Linked DNA regions of Arabidopsis thaliana. Each later gene encodes a partner of the first gene's protein in a complex. Each region holds a gene or a part of one and is shown in the gene's direction. Other genes may lie near its edges. The genes, in order: AT2G19730, STV1, AT5G45775 and ATL5.

Region 1 (4,067 bases):
AGAGCTAGTCATGTTCACCCCAACCTCCCAGAATATGACGATATCTTTGCAAGGCTCGGAGCGCTTCGTGCTCCCAGTCGACGCTGAATCTGCTCATCTTGTCCTTCTGTTCATATATATATTCTTTCACACGGAAAACAGTTCCCCTCATTCTTTACTCTGACTGAATTTGATATTCTTACACGTTATACAGATTGAAGTAGTGGTGTGATTCTGCTTGGTCTTGATTGGTTTTCCTTGTCTTTTTTTTTTTTGTGTGGATAAACAGAATAGAAAATAACTATTTGCGAAGAGAAAGATTTTATAATACCATTCGAAATGTTGTCATAATAGAAATAAATTTTGTTCTCTAATTCTCCATCTTGCTGAAACTGCAGTGCAAGAAAACAAACAAACAAACAAACAATGTCGAAAAAGCCAGACAAATGACATGTTATGGCAGGGTTTGACATATCAAAGTCCCTCCATCAGAGTTTCTTTCCGTATTGCAGTTCAATGAAAGAAACCAAGAACCTGACCACCCACATTCCGTTTAATAGCTTCTTCATGATCCAAAATGCCATCGGGAGTTGTAATCACTATATAACCCCACTGCATATAACAAATTAAAGAAGGTTTAAGTTACGATTAGTTGCATATTCAGAACTAGTGTAGAACCGAACCTGGCGCGTTGGAAGTGTGCGTTCTGTGTATTGCCCGATCTCATTTGCCTTAACGTCCTGCCTATAAGTGAGAGCTTTGCAATCATTAACCCTTCCTTGTAGATCAACAGTTATTCTTCCAACTCTGTGTGGATCATGGACTTGGAAGTTCTTGATGTACCCTATACATAATACATCAACATACATTTTGTAAAGTAATAGACAAAAAACTAGCTGATTCTGCGGTTTGAGCATAGAAATGGTATCTTTATACTTCAGTCACAAACTATCAACTTTGAAAAGAACTACTTCAAATTCCTAACTAAAAACATACAAAACACAGACGAAGATCGAAACAAACTTAAGTTAGACCATAAACTAAACAGGAGCAGATATGACTTTCTCCAACCATAGATCAAGATGTAACTTATCCATAAGAATCAAAAAACAGAAACTTTTCAATCTTCTGCAACTTCATAGTTAACCAAGAACAAAGCTTAATCATTGGGACCATGTTGTAACCAATCTCTTACATCGAGTGATCACACATGGAAATTCTTGAGCTATACGTGTTAGGATCAGCTCAAGGACCAACAAAACAATAGAGACTATGGATCATTAATCATACTTCACTACAAGCAAAAGTGACTAAAACCAATGTCGACGAAACTGATAAATCTAAACAAGTAGATGAAAAATTAGGGAAATGAATTAAGACCCAATTAGACCAGAAGAAAGAAGAAGTGAAAAATCTCACCTTTCTCTTTCATGATTTTGAGAAACGAAGACATTACGGTAGAGACAGGTTTCAACTCCACCGAAGCTTTCCCTCGCTTCTCAGCATTCACGATCGTTCTCAATGCATCGTTCAATATTCTCCTCCCCATTGATCGAAAATTCCGATTTCTAATACAAATTCTATAATCGAATGACAACGAATCAAAAAGAATCGATAACCCCTAAAGTTCAACAGAGCAGCAGGAAATGGGTTTATTCCAACGTTTCTCAGAATTGTGGGTATTTCGACATTTCGAAAAACATTAGGGGTATTTTAGACTTTTCACGTTCACTTACATGAGCTAGGGTTTTATTTTTTTCAGAGGTCATATATAAATAGCTCCATTCGTCTTCTAACAAAGCTCCGGCGCCACCATTAAAATCTCTCGATCTCTATCTGCGAAATTTCACGGTGAGCTTAGTATTACTCTCAATTGTTCTCAGTTCAGTATGTCTTGATTTTCGTAGCTTAGATGATCTGATTTTGTGTAGATATTTTGATTCAGCGAGCTCTATAGTAGTAGCCTTTAGGAATCGATCTGTTAATGTATGTGTTGTTGATTGGTAGTATCATTTTTGGTGTGGTGAAGGTAGGTATTTGAAATGGCGACAGTTCCAGGACAATTGATCTGGGAGATCGTGAAGAACAACAACTGTTTCTTGGTGAAGCAGTTCGGTAGAGGAAACTCTAAGGTTCAATTCAGCAAGGAGACTAACAACCTCACCAACGTTCACTCTTACAAGCACTCTGGTAAATTTGTACTCTTGTTTACGAGATTCTTTGTTTCTGAACGAAATGATATCTTGGCCATTTGAGAACAAATGATTACTTTACATCTCTGGTTGGTTGATTTAGTAGAATAGATTGGGAACTAAAGTTGTTAAGAAATGTTGATGTGTTAAGTGCTTTTGGTTCTATGAAAGATTGTGGATTCTCGACTATTAGATGATTGTGGTTGAAACTTGGCTGTTTGAGATCGTCTTTATGCACTATTTTATTGATTCTCGAGTATAAGCTTATTTTCTTATCTGTTGCAAGTTGACCGTGAAATGTAGTTTCTTTACATTTGACCATTTGAATCTGTATTACAATTGTGTATGTATCTTCTAATTTAAAGACAAAAATGGTAGTCTGAGTTGAGCAGACACTTCATACTATGTATTAGGTTTTGTTATTGTCTTGAATTAGGCTAAAGTTTGAATCTTTTGATGTGGTTTCAGGTCTTGCAAACAAAAAGACTGTGACCATCCAGGCCGCTGACAAGGACCAAGCTGTTGTGCTCGCCACCACCAAGACCAAGAAGCAGAACAAGCCTAAGCTCTCTGTCAACAAGTCTATCCTCAAGAAGGAATTCCCCAGGATGTCAAAGGCTGTTGCTAACCAGGTATTACTCAATTTTTATTACTTTAGTGTTTTTTATATGTCTATGGTGTGCTTATAGGTCTCTATATCTAGTTTTGTGTGTTATTTTCACGGCTATGATCTACAATTGGTTTTTATGTTCTTCCCTCTACCTGTGAGAGGAGAGTTAATATGTTATGGTAAAACGATATGATGCATAGCTGTGCAAAGATTAAAATTTAACTTCATATAAGGCTCCTTTTTGTGGCATATTGATGAAATATTAATTTTACACTTGGCTATTTTCATTGATCTGCTTAATGTTGCTGTTTATTGGTTTCATACGTGAATACAATCTAAACCAAATGATTGTGTAAATGTTTAGGTGGTGGACAACTACTACAGGCCGGACTTGAAGAAAGCTGCACTTGCTAGACTCAGCGCCATCAGCAAAGGTCTCAGGGTTGCCAAGTCCGGTGCCAAGCAAAGAAACAGACAAGCTTAAGCTTCTTCTTTCACAATCTGTTTTTTTTGAAGTAAAAGATTTTGTTGAACAGGTTTTATTTAAGTTGTTGCTTTGAAGTTGAACCATAATGCTATTCTCCTTTTTCATTATCCTTATTATAAAGGAGTTAGAAGTTTATCTTGTTATGCTTGATGTTTCTGGTGTGCTTGTGTTACATTTTGTTAGATCCTTTTATCGAATCAAGAACTTTCTTAAAATCTCTATTCTAGATTTTATTAGCAAATCAAATGTAATCAACAACCAAGTCCTTATATATTATGACTTTTGAAAGCCTAAATTGACTCAAAATAGCAAACATAAATGTTTAGATTTGTTGCATCAAATGTGATGTTCTTGTGGACTATAATGTTGACATTTTCATTAGATCCCATCAAAAACCAACTTGAGAATTCCATCTTAGCATGCTCTATACTTATCCAAAAGCCCATCAGGCCCATAGACGGCCCAACTTATAGCATACGGAAAGGTTTATATTAGGGTTTCTTAGACATGAATTAATTCTGTTCTCTTGCTGTGGCCGTCTCCAACACCATTTCGAAGACCAGGGAGATCGAAGCAAAATGGAGAAAGGAAAGGGAAGAAAGGAAGAGGTCGTGACCAGGGAGTACACTATCAATCTCCACAGGCGCCTCCATAGCTGGTAAAACCTAAAGCTTCAATACTTTTGACCTTATTTGCAATATCTCGTTTCCGTTTTGCTTAAGTTCGTTCTGGGCATAGAGTCTAATGATTAGACTAAAATTGCAACTTGTATTGATTCGAATTAGGTTTCTTGATGAAT
Region 2 (3,604 bases), on another chromosome or scaffold:
GATTACTTCTGGACACCTATACTGTCTCGTTTGAATGTCGCTTGTGAACTGTTTGTATGTCCAACACGCATTACCAAAGTCAACAAGTTTACACTTGAGGTCAGCAGATGCCACAAGGTGCCTTCGACTTGATCGACTCCCTTTCTTACCACCCTGCTTTCCTTTCTCGCTACCATCTAATTCAATTGCGTCAGAAGTAGAAGGACAATCTTCTTCAACCGATTTTTCTGCAGCACATTGTTTTCCATTAACCGGTGATCCCACTCCACGAACTTTATCAGATTCCGTATTGCCCTTATTCTCTGCATGTCCCTGAGCCGAAAGCTTTGCCTTTCTATGACTTCCTGTTTTTTGATTCTTGACAAAATCACCATTGGAGTCAACAACTGTATTATCCTTATCAGTGGGGAGAACAAGAGGAGCTCCAGACTTCCTCGGATCTTTAGACGGATCAATAGTTGACGGTAACAAAACATTCTCAGGCTTCAAATCAGTATGTATAATCGAAAGCTGTTTATGCAAGTAGTCTAAACCAACCAACATATGATAACAAATCTCCTTAACCATAGGAATAGGTAAGCCACGGTAATCAGAATACTTAATCAACGTTAACAGATTATCTCCCAAATACTCAAAAACCATACATACATGCTGACCATTCGGACCTGAGTGTTTGAAATGATCCAAAAGCTTCACAACACATTTGGTATCATCAGTGTCTCCCTCTGCAATCTGTTGCAATATTGTTATCTCATCCATGGCTGCTTCAGTATAATGCTGAGCACTCTTTTGCACCTTCAAAGCCACATATCTCTGTACATTCGATATACGAGTAAGAAAATCACACAAACAAAGCAACGAAAAATTAATCTCTAAAGCATTTCAAGCAATTCGTGTGGCGAGAGAGAGAGATAGATGCGTACAGAGGATTGAGTATCCCAGGAGAGCCAAACAGTAGAGAAATGGCCCCAACCGAGTTTGCTCTGGACAACGTACCGGCCGGTTTTGAATGAGTCACCGATCCGAACGGCGTGGTAACCGCCGCGTCGGTAATCTTCTGTACCTTCGTCCTCCGACGTGTATTCACCACCGTCGCTGTTCCACTTCTCCGCCTCCATATTCAGTAAATCTAGACGCAACGCGAGACAAACTAAGCTCTCTACTCTTGGAATATCCGGCGACGATTCAATCCAATTTTGTGGATCTCTCTCTCTTTTGATTTGATTTTTTCTGGAAGCTTGTGCAGAGAGAGAGCTTAGCTACTTGTTCAAACTTTCATCTACCTTTTACGAAACGTCACCGTTTTTTAGGTCCATTGACAAGTTTCCTCTACCGTCGTCGGCTATGGGAAAAAATCAAAAAATTATTGGAGGAGAGCTGACGTCATCACTACAAAAATATATGGGCTAATAAAATTATGGGCCTATTTGTGATGGGCCTATTTAGTGGGCTTAAAGTGTGGGCCAGAATAATATATATAGACGAAAATGGCATTGGGTGAAATGTGAAGTCTCTTATATATAAGTATCGAGAGAATTAGGGTTTTCTAGTCTAGTGTTTCCGGGAGCAGCCTGAGCAGGAGGAAGAAGACGAAGAAGAAGAGGAGCAGCTACTACCATGGTTCTCAAGTAATCAAATCTCACCTCTCTCTCTCTCTCTGTATCTGTTCCTGTGTTGAATCTATTAACATCGCCTAGTGATAATGATTCATGATTTCACACTATCGGAAGGATCGATTCACTGAAATTGACTCTTGTTTCAATCGGAATTTATGATATGTTTTGCTTTACCGTTAGCTAAGCTGGGTAATTTCATGGTCTCTGTGTAGCTGGATCTGGTTCTAAGTAATAAAAGTATGATACTTCGTTAATATCTGTGATTAGTCTGTATTTGGTATATGGATGATTCATTTCTATCATGTAGACTGAGATTTTTCAGTGTCAAAGATCATTTGGTTGTCATTTCTAGTTGCAATGTCTCATTTGTTTATTATCTATGAAATACAGGACGGAGCTTTGTCGTTTCAGTGGACAGAAGATTTACCCAGGAAGAGGAATTAGGTTTATCCGATCTGATTCTCAGGTTGGTTCTTTTATGAATCTTCAGCTAATCAAATTGATTTGTTTATACTTTGCAAATGTTTTGGTTTTAGTCTTTTAATGGTTTGTATTGTTTTCAGGTTTTCTTGTTTCTTAACTCAAAATGTAAGAGGTACTTCCATAACAAGTTGAAGCCATCCAAGCTTGCATGGACTGCCATGTACAGAAAGCAACACAAGAAGGTAAAAAAAAAACTCAGTAATTTGGATCTGTTTTGTTGTTTGTACTTTGTTTTTTTTCATTGATCCTGATTTGTTAACATTCTAAAACTCTGTTTCTTTTATAGGATGCAGCACAAGAGGCTGTGAAGAGAAGGAGACGTGCCACCAAGAAGCCATACTCAAGGTCCATTGTTGGTGCTACCTTGGAAGTAATTCAGAAGAAGAGAGCTGAGAAGCCTGAAGTTCGTGATGCAGCCAGGGAAGCTGCTCTGCGGTTAGTTTTCTCCCTCTGTCAAATCATCCAACTAGGATTAAAATAGTTATATTTGACTTAATAAATGTATTGTGATGATGATTCAACAAACAGTGAGATCAAGGAAAGAATCAAAAAGACCAAAGATGAAAAGAAGGCTAAGAAGGTGGAATTTGCTTCTAAGCAACAGAAGGTCAAGGCTAATTTCCCCAAAGCTGCTGCTGCATCCAAGGGTCCTAAGGTGGGAGGTGGTGGTGGCAAACGCTGAAGAGCTTAAAGCCATCTTTTCTCACTCTGCGTCTTTTCTGCTAGTAGCTACTTTTAGTAGTTGATGTTCATTTCTGAATATTTGCAAAACATAAACCTTGTTATTTCGTTTTTGTCTCTCACTTTTGCTACTCTTATAATATCAGACTTGAGAATTTTGCTGCTTATGAACTTTATTTCACTGCTCTCTCTTGTCCTCCTATCATTAAAATCAGAAGAGTTTGTGTTCCTATAATAACTCTTTTTAAAACATTGTTTACTATCTTGCTACGCAATCTCATATCACCCGGTTGTGTTCAATAGCCGATTCTAATTGCAACTACTGAGCTAACAGCAACCTTGGTTATGTATCTTATGCTCTTTTGCTAAAATCGATTTAAGGATTGTTGTGAACATGTGACAACTTCAATTGTTACGGATTGCATCAGAACTGAAATTGCATTGTAAGGAACACCATGAATATTGGTTGATTTTTTCACACTGTTCAGTTAATTCATTTCAACAAGATTTATGTTGTTGGTCAATAACTTTAGCAATAAATTTACTTGTGGAAAATTTTCACGGGGCCAAAACATAACATATGTGGTTGGAGAAATATTTCGTTCATGCATGATCCTTGTCCCCCAAAAAGCCATACTCGCTTAAGTACATTTCGATACATTCGAGATATGATAGAAAACTGTTGTCCCTTTTGTTCGATTCTATTGTATTGTATAATAAAACTAAGCTAAGTTTTTAAAATTTTGGATAATGGGTGCTAATTTTTACTAAAACTTTGGGAATGTTTATAGTTTGTGTATAAGTATGAAATCCATATAATCTGT
Region 3 (3,831 bases), on another chromosome or scaffold:
CTTTGGCATCGATCACGTCTCTCAAGATCACACGGTACATATCTAATAGTCTCTCTCTGTCTGTCATATACAATATATGTCAAGACTTTGCTAAAATCTGCATTACTTTTTATGGATTTCTTAGTGCAGCAAGACTACGAATTTGAAATCGGCCATCTGAAAAGGTTCAGTTTTCGCGAAATACAAACCGCAACAAGCAATTTTAGTCCAAAGAACATTTTGGGACAAGGAGGGTTTGGGATGGTTTATAAAGGGTATCTCCCAAATGGAACTGTGGTGGCAGTTAAAAGATTGAAAGATCCGATTTATACAGGAGAAGTTCAGTTTCAAACCGAAGTAGAGATGATTGGCTTAGCTGTTCACCGTAACCTTTTACGCCTCTTTGGATTCTGTATGACCCCGGAAGAGAGAATGCTTGTGTATCCGTACATGCCAAATGGAAGCGTAGCTGATCGTCTGAGAGGTTTTCAATTAACACATTTCTTGTTTTGTTATTCTTTCGATATATAACGCGAAAAGTTCCTTATAAGATTACATGTTTCAGACAATTATGGAGAAAAGCCGTCTCTAGATTGGAATCGGAGGATAAGCATTGCACTCGGCGCAGCTCGAGGACTTGTTTACTTGCACGAGCAATGCAATCCAAAGATTATTCACAGAGACGTCAAAGCTGCAAATATTCTACTTGATGAGAGCTTTGAAGCAATAGTTGGCGATTTTGGTCTAGCAAAGCTTTTAGACCAGAGAGATTCACATGTCACTACCGCAGTCCGAGGAACCATTGGACACATCGCTCCCGAGTACCTTTCCACTGGACAGTCCTCAGAGAAAACCGATGTTTTCGGATTCGGAGTACTAATCCTTGAACTCATAACAGGTCATAAGATGATTGATCAAGGCAATGGTCAAGTTCGAAAAGGAATGATATTGAGCTGGGTAAGTAAAAAAATTCTATGAGTCATTTACTCAACTTAGACTGAACCCATAAGGACAAAACTTAAATCTAAACCATTGGTTTTTGTAGGTAAGGACATTGAAAGCAGAGAAGAGATTTGCAGAGATGGTGGACAGAGATTTGAAGGGAGAGTTTGATGATTTGGTGTTGGAGGAAGTAGTGGAATTGGCTTTGCTTTGTACACAGCCACATCCGAATCTAAGACCGAGGATGTCTCAAGTGTTGAAGGTACTAGAAGGTTTAGTGGAACAGTGTGAAGGAGGGTATGAAGCTAGAGCTCCAAGTGTCTCTAGGAACTACAGTAATGGTCATGAAGAGCAGTCCTTTATTATTGAAGCCATTGAGCTCTCTGGACCACGATGATAGACTTCATAGTGTCTTAACTAGTCTTCTTGATTTTGTTGTCATTGTCATGGCATTAACTGTAAAAATTTGTTTTCTCAATAACTCTTATTTATTCTGTTCTTCCAAAAATAAATGAAGATTTGCGTTTCCACAGTCTCATAAAAAATTATCTATCGTTAATTTTAAAACTCATACATAATAAAGTGATTCGGCGAATGAAAGACTATTTGCCTTATGTAACTAAGAAGGCCAAATATATGCTTAAGATTATGCTTTTCTTATGGGCTTTATAATATTGGCCCATTAAACCATTTTAATAAATCAAAGGGGTAATTTCGTCATTGCGTTAATTCAAGAAACCCTAAGTACCGACCCATATAAGTTCTCTCACTTTGCACTCGACGCAGTTTTGGGCTTTGCAAACTCTACACTGCTTCGTCTCTTAGCTCGACATTGATCTCCTTAAAATGGTATTTGTTTCGTTCGTCTCTGTAGATCGATTCAATGAAAATGTGTTTAGTTCAATGGGTTTATTTTTCGGCTTTGTTTTGTTTCTCAGGCGTCGGAGAAGAAGCTCTCGAACCCCATGAGGGACATTAAGGTTCAGAAACTTGTTCTCAACATTTCCGTTGGTGAGAGTGGTGATCGTCTCACTCGTGCCTCCAAGGTTCGATTTTGTTTGTAAAAATCTGACCTTTACGATTATCCATCATTGATTTAGTGATTTAGATTTGAATTATTGTTTTTGGTTATTTCGTATAGGTGTTGGAGCAGCTCAGTGGACAAACCCCTGTCTTCTCTAAGGGTATGTGAATTTGAAATCTTTCAGGGATTTAAGTTTGATTTTGTGTTGATCTTGATTCTGATGTATGTTGTGGTTTTTGTTATACAGCGAGGTACACTGTGAGGTCTTTTGGTATCAGGCGTAATGAGAAGATTGCGTGTTATGTGACTGTGAGAGGTGAGAAGGCAATGCAGCTTCTTGAGAGTGGTTTGAAAGTTAAGGAGTATGAGCTTCTTAGGAGGAACTTCAGTGACACTGGTTGCTTTGGATTTGGTATCCAAGAGCACATTGATCTTGGAATCAAGTAAGTTTTCTGTTTCTTTTGCGATGAAAGTTTCCTTGAATTAGTTACATTAATGGCTTTGTATAATGGTTTTGGTACTTGGATTCTTCATGTATCTGTATATGTTTAAAAGAATTTCAGTTGCATCTAAATGTCAAGTCTCTAAATTAGGGGTTTTGTGAGGTTTAGTCAGAATGCAGACTACTTTGGTTTTCGCTGAGTGTTATAGTTTTTGTGGAATTTTAAGTATGGATTGGATTAAAAATGAGCCCTTTACTAGTTTTTGGTTGAATGCTAGATTTGGGTCTAGTAAAAGATGAATGCTTTACTGTTTTTCAAGGGTGTTAGATTCGAAACTGATTAACTGGTTTATTTGAAATGTTTACTGTTCTCATGTGTTTTATTTTGTGTATATAGGTACGATCCTTCCACTGGTATCTACGGAATGGACTTTTACGTTGTCCTTGAACGCCCAGGATATCGTGTGGCTCGCCGCCGTAGATGCAAGACTCGTGTTGGTATTCAACACAGAGTAACCAAGGATGATGCAATGAAATGGTTCCAGGTCAAGTATGAAGGAGTTATCCTCAACAAGTCTCAGAACATCACTGGTTAAAAAGTGTTTTGATCTTTAAAGATTTTTGTTGATTCTAGCTTATTTTAAGTTGTTATCTTTGGATGTTAAAGAATTTCTTGTTGTAGTAAATCTTTTGACATCAGTTTGGTAGAATCTAAATCTTCCAAGAACCTTGGAGATATGTTTCTTATTTTATTCAATGTCATCATCAAAACTAAAATCAATCAAAAGCAGCTCCTTTGATTTCATTGTCCTTATAGATGAATATGTCTCTGGACTACACAGTCCCTAAACTAACCCTATGTTTTGAACAAATTTGTATAAATAAAACTAAAGATACTCATAACCACAATTCATAAATACACTCATAACCACAATTCATAAATACTAAAACAGGAGAAAATAAAATAAAACATTTAGAAGGAGAGAAGGGTGAATACACAACCAATACAAAATTACTACGTCCCAGACTTCTCAAATCAAACGACACCTTTTAGCGAGATAAAAGAGGAAGAGGATTAAGAACACAAGCGAGAAAAGACCAATGCCGAGACCAAACAGAGTCTTGTTGGAACCTTTGTGTTCTTCTTCTTCTTCTTCCTTCGTCTTCAGATTCTCCGTCTTCTCCTCATTGCCTCCTTCAACGTCGTAATCGTTTTCTCCTGACAAAGATTCCTCCTTTTGCGACGGAGACCATAAAGGAAAACCGTATTTATCACACGGAGCAAGACCCTCCAATTTCAAGTTCGAGGAGAGAACAGTTTTGTTATAACAGAGCTCACTGTTCCTTCCAATTTCGAAAAAGTTGAGATTTTTGATGAAGCTTTCGTTGAATGGTAAAACTCCATGGAAGGAGTTATCAGCGAGATTCAAGTGTTTGAGGTTCT
Region 4 (4,647 bases), on another chromosome or scaffold:
TTTTGTCTTTGATTGTGTTTTGGTATTATGGTTTTCTGATTTAGTTTTAGTTGTTCAGATCTGATAAAGTCGGAAACTTTTTGAGTAATTTAATGCAATTTTGGGAATTTTTGATGATTGTGACAGTGTGATGAGCTTGTGGAGCATGGTGCATCAGTATGTGAGAGTCCAGCTGAAGTAATCAAGAAATGCAAATACACTATTGCTATGCTCTCTGATCCTTGTGCTGCTCTTTCGGTATTTGAAATCCTTTTTTGCTTCTTTTGTGTGTGTTTTAGCATTGGTGATGAATGATATGAAGTAGTTGTTTGATTAGGTTGTTTTCGATAAAGGCGGTGTTTTGGAGCAGATATGTGAAGGAAAAGGTTATATCGATATGTCGACTGTTGATGCAGAGACTTCTTTGAAGATCAATGAGGTTGAATCTTTTGTACTTTAGATGCTGATGATAAGATTAGAAGAAGGTTGATTAGTTTGATTGAGCTGTGTTGCGCATTGGTAGGCAATCACCGGGAAGGGTGGTCGGTTCGTAGAAGGTCCGGTTTCAGGTAGCAAAAAGCCAGCTGAAGATGGCCAACTCATTATCCTTGCTGCTGGTGACAAGGTACAACTCAAAACTGTACTTATGGATTGATTGATAGATCTCAAGAACTGTTTTAGTTGGACTTAGTAGGAAGGAGCTCTCGATGTGCGGCTATAATCCGTTTGTGTTTTAATCCTTTTTTGTAAGGCACTCTTTGAGGAATCAATCCCAGCTTTTGATGTCTTGGGGAAGAGATCGTTTTACTTGGGACAAGTTGGAAACGGAGCTAAAATGAAGCTAATAGTGAACATGATAATGGGAAGGTGAATGTCCCGTCTCTTTTACAATTACTACCATTAGTAGTAGGAATGGAACATGGCTTCATGATCTTATTGTTTTTCGTCTGATACAGCATGATGAATGCATTCTCTGAGGGGCTTGTATTGGCTGACAAGAGTGGACTTAGCTCTGACACTCTTTTGGATATTCTGGTGAGGTGATCAAACTTTTGCAAGCTCTGAAATAATGGTGTTGGTTTGAATCGGTTTCTGCTATGGGCAGGATCTGGGAGCAATGACTAACCCGATGTTCAAGGGGAAAGGACCTTCAATGAACAAGAGTAGTTACCCACCAGCATTTCCATTGAAACATCAGCAGAAAGACATGAGGCTAGCTCTTGCTCTTGGCGATGAAAACGCGGTTTCCATGCCTGTAGCCGCGGCTGCAAACGAGGTCAGTTAGTTAGTTAGTTACTCAGAGACAATAACATATTGGCTCTCCCTCCTCTAGATTGGTTTCTTAGCTTGAATCTTAAAATATATGTTTCGGTTCTCGACAGGCTTTTAAGAAGGCGAGAAGCTTGGGACTAGGAGATCTCGACTTCTCTGCTGTGATTGAAGCTGTGAAATTCTCCCGCGAATAGCAAACTGTTTCAAAACATCCACTCATTTGGATTGGCTGAGATACTGAAATCATTGTTATCTTCCCAAATAGAGATTTACTCATTTGGCCAAACACACATTTTACTCCTTCACCAAATAAAAAGTCTTAACCACATATCCAGAAACGTTCATAGAGTTGCAACCTTACGTTTCAACTACTTTATGGCTAGTTCACTCGATATTGGTCCAGAGGTAGATCAAATTGATTGAAACAGAACCAATAAAATAGAGCAAAGTTTATTTGAAGTTGGTCACTGTTAAGGTTATATGAAACAAAGGAAGCAAAAAAGAACCCGTAGATGAGAAGATCAAAGAAATAACATTGCATCAAGATGGTCAAGAGAAATGTTCCTATGGATTATAGACAAACGAGGAGAGGAGGAGACCATTTCAGTAGAAAATTGGATTTCGTTGGAGTGTGAATGTAAAAGCCCATAGGCCCATTAATAATATAACTAGTAAAGCCCATTAACATTTTTCAGCCCACGAGGAGTTTTCTAGGGTTTTGTCTTATAAGATGTCGCATTTAGGTCATTCCGCCTCTTGCTTCTCTTCACTCACAATCTCACAGCAAAGCCTCTCGTTGCTAGAGGAATCAAACAATGGTAAACCCTAGCTTTAATCTCTATCTCTTCTCATTTCTCAATCGTTTCTTCTTAATCTTCTCTTAAGAAAATCGGGTTTTGATCTTCATTTCATATAGAAATCTCCTGCATTGCTTTTGATTAGATATCGTAACGAGAATTCGTGATCCTATGGTTCTATCCACCTTCGTAGATGTTTTTCTTCATGGGTTTTTGGTTTTATAACTTGCTTGAGAATTGAAATAGGAAAAGTTTGAGACTTTGCTTTTGTTCTGTTTTAGAGGTCACTGATACGTATTCAATGGAGTTCTTACCGTAGATCTTTGTTACCATCGAAGAACCTTTATATTGTTGGATCTTAGACTAATAAAATAAGATGATTTGTTGTTGGTAGGTGTTTGTGAAGTCCACCAAGTCGAATGCTTACTTCAAGAGGTACCAAGTGAAGTTCAGGAGAAGAAGAGGTAATAGATTGTTGATTCGTTTTATTCTGATGATATTGTTTGTTCTCTCTTTGTTTCAATCTGTTTCTGAAAATTATTTTATTTTTGTGTAGATGGAAAGACTGACTACAGGGCAAGGATCCGTCTTATCAACCAAGACAAGAACAAGTACAATACTCCTAAGTATCGTTTTGTTGTCCGGTTTACCAACAAAGACATAGTGGCACAGATTGTATCTGCAAGCATTGCTGGTGACATTGTTAAAGCTTCTGCTTACGCACATGAACTGCCTCAGTATGGTCTCACTGTTGGTCTTACAAACTATGCTGCAGGTATTGAATGTGTCATCTGGTATTGTTTTCCAATTTAATATGGTTGATTCTGTCTTTATGGCTTACTTATGTGTAATTTTTTTTTGTTGAACTAGCTTACTGTACTGGCCTTCTTTTGGCTCGCCGTGTTTTAAAGATGTTGGAAATGGATGACGAGTATGAGGGAAACGTTGAGGTATGTTGTGTGATTGGTTTCATCTTGATAATAAGAAGCATTGTTATTGTCTCTTGTTAGAAACTCAAGTCACACAATGAATCAGGCCACTGGAGAAGACTTTTCCGTTGAGCCAACTGATTCAAGGAGACCTTTCCGTGCTCTTCTTGATGTTGGACTTATCAGGACCACAACAGGAAACCGTGTGTTCGGTGCTCTTAAGGTATTAACTTGTTTCTCTTTTTTTGTTGTGAGTGCTCTTATTTGTCATTCTTCTTGAGCAAATGCTTATACTGGCAATTCTTTAATATCCTTTTGGTTCGCTGTTTGAATCTGTAGGGTGCTTTGGATGGTGGTCTTGATATCCCTCACAGTGACAAGAGATTTGCTGGGTTCCACAAGGAGAACAAGCAACTTGATGCTGAAATCCACAGGAACTACATCTATGGTGGCCATGTCTCAAACTACATGAAGCTGTTGGGAGAAGATGAGCCAGAGAAGTTACAAACTCACTTCAGTGCTTACATCAAGAAAGGAGTTGAAGCTGAGAGCATTGAGGAGTTGTACAAGAAGGTTCACGCAGCTATTCGTGCTGACCCCAACCCAAAGAAAACCGTGAAACCTGCTCCCAAGCAACACAAGAGGTAGGGAAACAGAATCAATCTAGTCTATCTATATTCTTGTCTTGTTGGTGTATTGGTGTCTCATTTGGTCTTCCATTTAACAAAACAGGTACAACTTGAAGAAACTTACTTACGAGGAGAGGAAGAACAAGTTGATCGAGAGAGTCAAGGCATTGAATGGAGCAGGTGGTGATGATGATGATGAGGACGATGAAGAGTAAATCAGTCAAGCCTTCTTTATCTCATGCCTCTTGTAGTTTTTTATCTTTTGAGCTTAATGCCTCAAATTTTCTGTTTTCAGACTAAAACACTCAGCTTTTGTGTTCACATTTTAATTGTGTTCGAGGATTTTGATATTGAGGATACATTTTCTTTGAAGTATCATTATCTTATTATTACCTTCATCATAATTTTCAAGAATTTGTATGACAATAGTTTGATGACTTGATTTTATCTGTAGTTTGCTATTGTTAAATGTAAGAACTGTTAGACTTCATCTATATGAACTAGAAAACATTGCTACAAGATGAACTAGATCACATTACTACAAGTTTAGAGCTAAATCACTGTTTAAGGAAATAACTCAGTATTCTCTTGGAGCTATTATTATATGTAGCCTTATCGGGTACTGGAACTGTCTTATGCAAAGTAGGAATGACTTATCTGCTCTGTAGTATGAAGTATGAACTATCCTGGAAGCTGACTAATACGTAATTTAATTTCTCTCGTGACTTCTTTAGTATATAATCGAGAATATGATGTGTATTATTTGGATTCCAAGTAAATTACATGAATGGTGGAGCCCTACATGAAAGGGACCACGATTTGTCCTTAGCAAAATTTTCCATAAATTTTTATGGTGAAAGGTAACAGCCATGAAGCTTCTCTTTCTCTACCAACAGAGTCAACGATCTGTATTCAATATACACAACGTCTCTTTGTTAATCCTTCCTCTACCATGTATGCTTAGTCTTAGATCCTTTTTTCACCTTACTAATGAATTCTTCTTTTTTCCTTGGTACTCTTGCAGCTGCAATAGGCTTCTTA

Evidence for each region.
Region 2: AT2G19730 (region 1) and STV1 share a complex: the UniProt entries of both Arabidopsis thaliana proteins name them as parts of the large ribosomal subunit.
Region 3: AT2G19730 (region 1) and AT5G45775 share a complex: the UniProt entries of both Arabidopsis thaliana proteins name them as parts of the large ribosomal subunit.
Region 4: AT2G19730 (region 1) and ATL5 share a complex: the UniProt entries of both Arabidopsis thaliana proteins name them as parts of the large ribosomal subunit.

Annotation. Positions count from the first base shown.
Region 1 is NC_003071.7:8,509,731-8,513,797, forward strand, and holds AT2G19730 (Ribosomal L28e protein family), read left to right. Parts: upstream 1-1,755; 5' UTR 1,756-1,830; exon of another isoform or gene 1,831-1,861; intron 1,862-2,008; exon of another isoform or gene 2,009-2,012; 5' UTR 2,013-2,021; coding exon 2,022-2,169; intron 2,170-2,639; coding exon 2,640-2,803; intron 2,804-3,145; coding exon 3,146-3,265; 3' UTR 3,266-3,561; downstream 3,562-4,067. Other genes in the region: AT2G19710 (Regulator of Vps4 activity in the MVB pathway protein), read left to right, coding at 1-87; rps15ab (ribosomal protein S15A B), read right to left, coding at 493-591, 663-823, 1,399-1,528; AT2G19740 (Ribosomal protein L31e family protein), read left to right, coding at 3,847-3,926. UniProt on the Arabidopsis thaliana protein: Component of the large ribosomal subunit. Essential in leaf polarity establishment, probably having a role for translation in leaf dorsoventral patterning to specify leaf adaxial identity.
Region 2 is NC_003074.8:19,659,926-19,663,529, reverse strand, and holds STV1 (Ribosomal protein L24e family protein), read left to right. Parts: upstream 1-1,504; 5' UTR 1,505-1,617; coding exon 1,618-1,628; intron 1,629-2,006; coding exon 2,007-2,082; intron 2,083-2,179; coding exon 2,180-2,281; intron 2,282-2,385; coding exon 2,386-2,534; intron 2,535-2,627; coding exon 2,628-2,781; 3' UTR 2,782-3,042; downstream 3,043-3,604. Other genes in the region: SRPK4 (ser/arg-rich protein kinase 4), read right to left, coding at 1-813, 924-1,118. UniProt on the Arabidopsis thaliana protein: Might have an extraribosomal function in reinitiation of translation of ETTIN and MONOPTEROS genes that are involved in the auxin-mediated gynoecium patterning.
Region 3 is NC_003076.8:18,564,433-18,568,263, reverse strand, and holds AT5G45775 (Ribosomal L5P family protein), read left to right. Parts: upstream 1-1,681; 5' UTR 1,682-1,767; coding exon 1,768-1,770; intron 1,771-1,793; exon of another isoform or gene 1,794-1,859; coding exon 1,860-1,967; intron 1,968-2,062; coding exon 2,063-2,105; intron 2,106-2,192; coding exon 2,193-2,388; intron 2,389-2,784; coding exon 2,785-2,983; 3' UTR 2,984-3,272; downstream 3,273-3,831. Other genes in the region: AT5G45780 (Leucine-rich repeat protein kinase family protein), read left to right, coding at 1-34, 125-463, 545-936, 1,025-1,318; RLP55 (receptor like protein 55), read right to left, coding at 3,419-3,831. UniProt on the Arabidopsis thaliana protein: Component of the ribosome, a large ribonucleoprotein complex responsible for the synthesis of proteins in the cell.
Region 4 is NC_003074.8:9,268,747-9,273,393, reverse strand, and holds ATL5 (ribosomal protein L5), read left to right. Parts: upstream 1-1,928; 5' UTR 1,929-2,066; coding exon 2,067-2,069; exon of another isoform or gene 2,070-2,219; coding exon of another isoform or gene 2,220-2,222; intron 2,223-2,442; coding exon 2,443-2,512; intron 2,513-2,604; coding exon 2,605-2,823; intron 2,824-2,918; coding exon 2,919-2,998; intron 2,999-3,083; coding exon 3,084-3,200; intron 3,201-3,316; coding exon 3,317-3,621; intron 3,622-3,709; coding exon 3,710-3,821; 3' UTR 3,822-4,117; downstream 4,118-4,647. Other genes in the region: GLYR1 (glyoxylate reductase 1), read left to right, coding at 127-237, 317-418, 503-604, 731-846, 936-1,014, 1,085-1,255, 1,362-1,445. UniProt on the Arabidopsis thaliana protein: Component of the ribosome, a large ribonucleoprotein complex responsible for the synthesis of proteins in the cell.